Macaca fascicularis: one gene and its partner. The protein of the gene in region 1 purifies or fractionates together with the protein of each later gene. This does not show direct contact. Links are inferred from orthologs where the notes say so. Each region holds a gene or a part of one and is shown on either strand. Other genes may lie near its edges.

The links.
Region 2: the proteins of MTOR (region 1) and AKT1S1 purify together in Homo sapiens (affinity purification with western blotting; 8 studies listed by BioGRID and IntAct, with this or other methods). This does not show direct contact. The link is inferred for Macaca fascicularis from reciprocal best matches to the Homo sapiens genes MTOR and AKT1S1.

What each region holds. Positions count from the first base shown.
Region 1 is NC_088375.1:223,550,760-223,554,565, forward strand, and holds part of MTOR (serine/threonine-protein kinase mTOR), read left to right. Parts: exon of another isoform or gene 1-8; 5' UTR 9-22; coding exon 23-184; intron 185-837; coding exon 838-946; intron 947-2,240; coding exon 2,241-2,473; intron 2,474-3,213; coding exon 3,214-3,414; intron 3,415-3,806. UniProt on the Homo sapiens protein: Serine/threonine protein kinase which is a central regulator of cellular metabolism, growth and survival in response to hormones, growth factors, nutrients, energy and stress signals.
Region 2 is NC_088393.1:57,857,858-57,862,136, reverse strand, and holds the start of AKT1S1 (proline-rich AKT1 substrate 1), read left to right. Parts: upstream 1-1,395; 5' UTR 1,396-2,114; coding exon 2,115-2,167; exon of another isoform or gene 2,168-4,279. Other genes in the region: TBC1D17 (TBC1 domain family member 17), read right to left, coding at 180-254, 511-609, 1,006-1,026. UniProt on the Homo sapiens protein: Negative regulator of the mechanistic target of rapamycin complex 1 (mTORC1), an evolutionarily conserved central nutrient sensor that stimulates anabolic reactions and macromolecule biosynthesis to promote cellular biomass generation and growth.

The DNA of each region.
Region 1 (3,806 bases):
CTTTAAAGAACCTCAGGGCAAGATGCTTGGAACCGGACCTGCCGCCGCCACCACCGCTGCCACCACATCTAGCAATGTGAGTGTTCTACAGCAGTTTGCCAGTGGCCTGAAGAGCCGGAATGAAGAGACCAGGGCCAAAGCTGCCAAGGAGCTCCAGCACTATGTCACCATGGAACTCCGAGAGGTGCTTCTGCGATTTGGGGCCAGTCATTGTGGGATGTTTGGGCTAAATGTATCATCACTGGTTTAGACTTTTTTTGGACAGCTAAGCGAGGATTTGGAAAACAGAGATTATTTTAGAAAGGCACTCAACCTCTCACATCCATAAAACATGCAGGTTCTTTTGCAGCAGTTGCACATTTCTGTGGCATTTTTCTTGTTTGTGGTCACATTTTAGGGGCCAGAATAGACTTAGCTGTTTCTTTTAGCTTTTTCTTTTTTCCTTACCACATACCACACCCTCAAATGCTTTCTGTCTGATAACAGTGATTGGGATGGGTTTGGAGAGTTGAGAACTAGGGACTTTCTAAATAGAGACCAGACTTGAGGTCAGAGACAGTATCTTGTTTATCCTTGTATCCCTGGTACTAGAAAGAACCTAGGACAGAACATTTTCTGCCACAGAGTAGATACCCAATAAATATTTGTTAAATAATCAGAGGATTGCAAGTTCAGGTGCTCTACAGTGTAATCCTGTAGAAGTGGGCAGTAGCTTGTCTTCTTTGGTTTGAACTATACTGCCTGCCTCTCAGGATCTAATCTTTAGATGCCAGCCCACTCCCACCACCACAGTCAGAGAATTACTAGAAATTGTTCTGATTATATCTTCTTTTGCAGATGAGTCAAGAGGAGTCTACTCGCTTCTATGACCAGCTGAACCATCACATTTTTGAATTGGTTTCCAGCTCAGATGCCAATGAGAGGAAAGGTGGCATCTTGGCCATAGGTAAGGACAGAGTCTCTGGCCACAAAAACAACACACTCACCTTTGTGCCCATTGCACCCTGTGTCTGCCACTTACTGGATGCTAGTTCATATTTGCTTAATGAAATTTAAGAAGCCTGTGGCTTTTAATTCTAGCAGCAGTCCTGGGCTACAGGAAAAACGTATTTTTAGATGTGGAGGTGGAGTCTCAGAACCATTGAGTGACTTTTCAGACAGTTTACCAGAGCTGAGACTGGAAGCCAGCTTTCTTTTCCCTCCTTCATGTTGCGTTTTGTGGGCTCTGGTTCCTCAGTAGAGCAGGGTTTTGCATAGTGGGGCTCACGAATGGAAAAGTGGAATCGGTATAGTTAATAAAAAGCAGGTCTCTTTTTTTTTGAGATGGAATCTTACTCTGTTGCCCAGGCTGGAGTGCAGTGGTGCAATCTTGGCTCGTGGCAACCTCCGCCTCCTGGGTTCAAACGATTCTCGTGCCTCAGCCTCCCGAGTAGCTGGGATTACAGGCACCTGCCACCATGCCCGGCTAGTGTTTGTACTTTTAGTAGAGACAGGGTTTCACCATGTTAGGCAGGCTGGTCTCGAACTCCTGACCTCGAGTGATCTGCCCACCTCAGCCTCCCAGAGTGCTGGGATTACAGGTGTGAGCCACCACACCTGGCCAGGCAGGTCATTTTTAACTTCTAAGGACTGGTCATCAGTCCTGTGAATTATTATCCAGTCTCACTTGCTTTCCCTTTTTGGGGGACTAGGGAGGAAAATTATACTAGCATAAGATTATTTTGCTGTATGTAAATATTTCTGGCATAAGTATTAAATATCTGGGTTAAAATAAAAATTGTGTCCTTGCCCTCTAGAAGTGTACTCAAAGTAGAATGGAGGGATCACTTGCCAGCTTTTTTTTCTTTTTTTTTTTCCTGAGACAGAGTCTTGCTCTGTCACCCAGGCTGGAGTGCAATGGCGCAATGTCGGCTCACTGCAACCTCCGCCTCCCGGGTTCAAGCAATTCTCTTGCCTCAGCTTCCCAAGTAGCTGGGACTACAGGCGCATGCCGCCACACCCGACTAATTTTTTGTTGTTGTTGTTGTATTTTAGTGGAGAAGGGGTTTCACCATATTGCCCAGGCTGGTCTCGAACTCCTGAGCTCAGGCAATCCGCCCACCTTGGCCTCCCAAAGTGCTAGGATTACAGGCTTGAGCCACTGCGCCTGGCCAGCACTTGCCAGCTTTTAGTTGAAGTCTGTGTACTTTCCTGGTCAGCCTATGCCCCATCATCACCTTTTGCCTTCCTCTCTTTTCCAGCCAGCCTCATAGGAGTGGAAGGTGGGAATGCCACCCGAATTGGCAGATTTGCCAACTATCTTCGGAACCTCCTCCCCTCCAATGACCCAGTTGTCATGGAAATGGCATCCAAGGCCATCGGCCGCCTTGCCATGGCAGGAGACACTTTCACCGCTGAGTATGTGGAATTTGAGGTGAAGCGAGCCCTGGAATGGCTGGGTGCTGACCGCAATGAGGGCCGGAGACACGCAGCTGTGAGTGCCTGCAGGGAGGAGCACAGCCAGGCTTGGGGAGCGATGGTGTCATGGTGGGGTCTTTTGCTTCCTTCTGAGGCTCATCCCTGAAAAAGGCTGGTTAGAAGGGCTAGGATTCCAGGCTGTGAGATGGGGTAGAGTCCGTCCTTAAGAGAGAATCTAGCAGTGGTGTGGTAGGGATCAGAAGCATCAGCCGCATGCTTTCCAGTCTGCTGCCCTTCAGAGGAGGCACTACTGTGAGGGGGGGGCATGGTACCAGGAGAAGGACACACACTTGGACCCTGGCTCAAGTCTTGGCTTTACAACTTCCTACCTAACTCTGTAACCTGGGGCAGCTTCTGACCTTCAGTTTCTTCCTCTGTCAAATAAAAATAACAACAAGATTAAACATTAAACAGGATTATCCATTCAATAATTGTTTACTACATACCTACAGTATTCCAGGTAGAGTTCTATGCTATTAGTATAGTGATATAGAAAGCATAAAACACATCTGCACTTCCAGAGCTTATATTCAAACATTACAAGCATTCTGTGTTTGTAAACAACTTAGGATAATGACCACTGAGATGTTTAATCAAATTTACTTTCTTCCTCTGTCCCCAGAATTTCCTAGCTGGAAGAGTGAGCAAGCCTTCTCTGTTCCTAGTGTGTATGGCTCTAAGATGATAAAAGACCGTACTCCTGAGAGAACAAAGCACTGGTACCGACGAGAGTTCTCGGTTTGTCTTTTTCTCTAGGTCCTGGTTCTCCGTGAGCTGGCCATCAGCGTCCCTACCTTCTTCTTCCAGCAAGTGCAGCCCTTCTTTGACAACATTTTTGTGGCTGTGTGGGACCCCAAACAAGCCATCCGTGAGGGAGCTGTGGCCGCCCTTCGTGCCTGTTTGATTCTCACCACCCAGCGTGAGCCGAAGGAGATGCAGAAGCCTCAGTGGTACAGGGTGAGGAGATGGGTCCATTCCCAACACTAGGAAAGCACGTCTACATAGAGAATCACCTGGCCTAAGGGGCAGCCACAGGCCCTTGCTATGGAGCAAGCATCAGTTTTTGTTTTGGTCTCAAATGAATTTTTTTTTTTTTTTTGAGCTGGATTGCCCAGGCTGAAGTGCAGTTGCACAATCTCAGCTCATCGCAACCTCTGCCTCTCGGGTTCAAGCGATTCTCCCACCTTAGCCTCCCGAATAGCTAGGACTACAGGCGTGTACCACCACGCCTAGCTAATTTTTGTCATAGAAACAGGGTTTTTCCATGTTGACCAGGCTGGTCTCGAATTCCCAACCTCAGGTGATCCACCTGCCTTGGCCTCCCAAAGTGCTAGGATTACAAGCATGAA
Region 2 (4,279 bases), on another chromosome or scaffold:
GCATCCTCTGCCCATTTCACAGAGAGGAGCAAACCAAGGGGCAGAGTACCCAAGCCCAGACAGGGTCACACATGTCCCATGGGTAGCTCTGGGATTGTACACAAGTCCCTCAAATGACTTACAACAGCACGGACCTAGAAGAAAAGTGAGTGGAGAAGGGCAAAGCGGGTGGAGCCTACCTTCTTGGAGAAGAGGATTTGGGTGGAATCTCCAGCCTCCTCTACAGGAGCCCAGTGCAGGAGGACGTCATTGTCCTAGGGGAAGGAGGGAGGCGGGGTTAGAGGCGCTCCCCAAACCACATTCCCAAAACTTTCTGTTGCAAATTTCCAAACTTTCCCAGTTTCTACCCTCGGCCTTTCAAAGTCCCGCCCCTCATTCCAGTTCCCACCCCCAGCCTTCTTCAGGTCCCACTGCTGACCGCCAGACCAAACTCCTACAGTTGCCGCTTGCATCCCAGAGCGCCTGCATCCCGCTCGGAGCGGGTTCGAGCCCTGCTCCCTCCCAACGCACCTTTTCCACGACACGGATAACACCAGCGATGAGGGAGTCTCGGTCCTGATACTTCTTAGCGCTGGTGTGCAGGTACACTCCGCCCTTCTCAAACACCACCTGAGTTGGGGGGAACCAGCAAGGGCTGAGGCCCAAGAGAAGGCGACCAGCGAGGGTACCGGCCTGGGGAGCCAATAGGGACGGGCCCAGGGAGGAGCCATCCCCAGGGGGCGGGGCCGGGAGGGCCATTGCCCAGGGACGAAGGCGGGGAGAATGGTCCAGCCCACGTTCGGATGCTGGCGTGCGTTCCACAGAGGGCAGGGCCCAAGGAGTCGCCTGAGCCGGGGGGCGGGGCCATGAGAGGTTCTTCCCTGGGGCGGTAGACGGGAGGGTGACGGCGCGTTTATAAGAGATCGGAGTTTCTCAAGTGCACTCGCAAGGCCTGAGGGAAGAGCTCATCACCAGACGGGGCGTTTCGCATACACTGAAGCGAGGGAATGCGTCCTCAGTGCTTACCCTGTAGCCGGCTCCTTCCATAGTCGCCGCCGAAGGCCCCACTGCCCCGCCTCCTCCTTTTCCGAGTCAGCGTGTGGTCACTTCCGGAGAAAACAGTTCCCCTCCGGACCGGACAGTGGTAGCGCCCCGACCAGTTCCAGAGAAAGAGTGGGTGAAACCATTTTTCCAGAAGGGGGATATTCCACTGGAACTTCGAGGGTGGATCGGAGCCACGTGGCGCAGACGCTGAAGGTGGAGCCGGCTACGGAGAGTGCGCAGGCGCAGTGTTCTCCCTCTCGCCACGAAGTAAACAAGTGGGAGGGTCTGAGAGCTGCACCACCTGGGGCAAGCACGCCTCGAAACGCCCACTTCCTTCTCCATGTTGTATACTGGAATTGAAGCCAAGGAGGTACCATTTTGCTCGAGGGCATGGCCTAAGCCGGTCGGCTAAGGCCATGTTAATACGGGGGTGTCCCATCTCTCTGCGGGGCGCGACAGCTGGAAGAGCCGAACGGATAAGAGAAGAGGAGGTGAGAGGAGCTGTACACCACAAGAGGCACTGAGGGACTCGGGATAACGGGATGAAGCCGTCAGTGCCCCCAGAAACGAAGCGGCCCCAAACGAATTTCTGAGTCACCGTCGCGAGAAAGCGGGCTGAGCCGCCATTTTGAAGCCTGGCAAACCGAAGCAAGAAATGCTGCCGTGTTGGATCTTTGCCAGCTTTGGTGCTGAATGGGAGCAGGTTGGAGGGAGGGAGAGCCAATGTACACTATGGGCTGATTAGACCGGTTGGCTGCCATGTTGTTAACGAGCACCGATTTCCTCCACTTTTGTCGAAGAAGTTTATCGTGGGTCAGGGACGTCAGATCGCTTGCCTTCGTTTGCTGTGGTCATGAGCGAGCTTATGAGGACGGCCATTATTGTTGGGGGCAAATGGAAATGCTCTAGGCGAGAAAGCTGAAGCGTTTTTTTCGCCATTTTTTTTATGGGCACGCTGCCGTCGCCATTGCCCACTGGTTCGGATGAAGCCCCTGTGGCCGCCATCTTGATCTCGGGCGGCCCCGATAAGGGAGGCGGAGTGTACAGAGAGGAGGCGGGGCAACTACGCGGACGTGACGCAAGGCGCCGCCATGTCTTTTGAGGGCGGCGACGGCGCCGGGCCGGCCATGCTGGCTACGGGCACGTGAGTGGAGGCGGCGTTGTGAACCGCGGTGTGGGGAGGATTTGGCCGTCCTGAGGCAGCGGGGCGCTGGGAGGGCGAGCGGCTCACGGGAGGGGTATGGCCTGCACAGATCAGAGGGCAGAGGTCCGCCAGCGACCCTTTGCTGAGCGCTGGAAGGGGGTCGCTTGTGGGAATCGTCCTGTCAGACCTGAGGCAAATCCTAGACAGCCTCACCTTGCGGTGTCCAGAGCGCCTGGGATCTCTACTTGGGCCGTGGACCACGTCCACGGGGTCGGGGAATGGGTTGGGGGGCCTCGGGGCGCCCCTCACCCTTCCAAAGGCGGGACTTCCGGTCCTGGCCTCCGGCTGGGCGGGATTTCCTGTTTTCTTCCTAGACCAGTGGGTCCTCCCTGGACCACGGGCGAGGTTGGGAGGTCTCGGGGCAGCTGAGCCTGGCCCCAGGCACTCACCCCACCCGTGGCTACCGCGTTCATGCTCGGGTTCCTCACATCTTGGGGTGTGGGGCACTAAAATTTCGACAGGAGGGATGGTTCCACCCTTCTTCTCCTTAGCTCTTTCCCTCCTCCCCGCATCCAAAGAGGACAGCCACATCGTGCTCCCCCTCCTGTGGGGAACACGTCTCACTTTCGTCTCATCTCTCCCTGATCTTAAACGAAACTTCTCCATCGGGGCGGGTTCTTCCTCCATCTCTCAGCTCCTTGGAGGAAACAGGACCTCCTCTAGAAGCTCAAGGGTAAGGAGGACCGCCAGGTCTTGGCTACTCTCCTGTTGGGTAACATTACAGGTGCCCCTGGACCTTGGCAGAGAGGCCTGTGGAAGTCGCCTGTCGTTTTTGCTCATGTCTCCTGAGTTGGGGGAACCCTCACAACCCACTCACCCTATTTCACTCTCTTCAATCCCGTGGCTCCTCCAAGATTGAGTACAGGCAGGGAGTTTTATCCTGACGTCCTCCTCCGGGACCCCCGCTCCCCTTCTTCTCCGAATGTCATTAGGGGCTGCGGGCCCATGGAAGTGAGAGCCCCAGGCCTAGCACAGCCAGGCAGTTGACTTTGGACCGGCCACTTCTTGCTTCGAGCCTCAGTTTCTTCCTCCATCAGCTAGGAAGGACATGAGGGGTGTGTTTGAGACACTGGGTACCCCCCAGTTCATTGGGTTTTGGAGGCTGGGCAGTCAGCGGTTTCAGCCCCACTTGTGCCCTGTGTAGCTGTGTGCTTTCTTGCCAGTGTCCTAAGCTCTCTGAGCCTCGCTTTTCCATCTAGATAATAATATCTGCCCTCCTAAAGGCAGGCAGGATGGCGGTCAGGATTTAGAGCAGGCCCTGGATCTAGACTGTCAGAGTCCAGGTCCCAGCCCTGCCTCTTCCAGTTGTGGGGCCGGACTCTTCAAGATGCTGACTGTCCCTGGGCCTGAGTTTGCAACTGTAAAATGGAGTGAACTGTAACTAAAACTCCTGCCTCATAGCGTAGGTGAAAGGGTGGGATGAGAAGGTTGATCCCATCTTGGGTCGTTGCGTGGCTTCTGGGAAGTGGTGGATAAACCTCTTACTTCCCTCGGGGCTTTGAACTCCCTGAGTGAGTCAGATGGGAGGTGAGATGCCAGGTGTGGAATCCCAGCACTGAATAGGTGCTCAGCAAACACCGATATCTATGATCGTGAGTCATAAAGGGCCTGCAAATTTCATTCAAACTCCAGACTCCCTGCTCCCTTCACCCTGGTGGGCTGGACCACAGCTGTGCCTGAATCCCTGCAGTGGCAGTGTGCTCACTGCCTCCCCAAGGAGCCTCTTCCACAGCCCAGCAGCTCTGGCTCAACCACTCTGGTTAATGGGGAAGAAAATGAGGCACAGAGAGGGCCAGTGAGCTGTCCAAGGTCACACAGCAGGTTTGAGACAGAGTCAGGGCAAGGACCCGGCCCCCCTACCCTCGCTCTTCTCACCCGGTAAGGAGATGCACCCTGCATTGTCTGCTTAGGGCCAACCTGTCCTGTGAATACAAATCCCTGACCTTGGGAGAATTCACAGTCTGATGCAGGAGGCAGCCAGGGTACAGCTGTCACAAGCTCTGGTGACCTGAATGCTCATGGAGGAAGCCCACAGCATCAGATGGGCTCTGG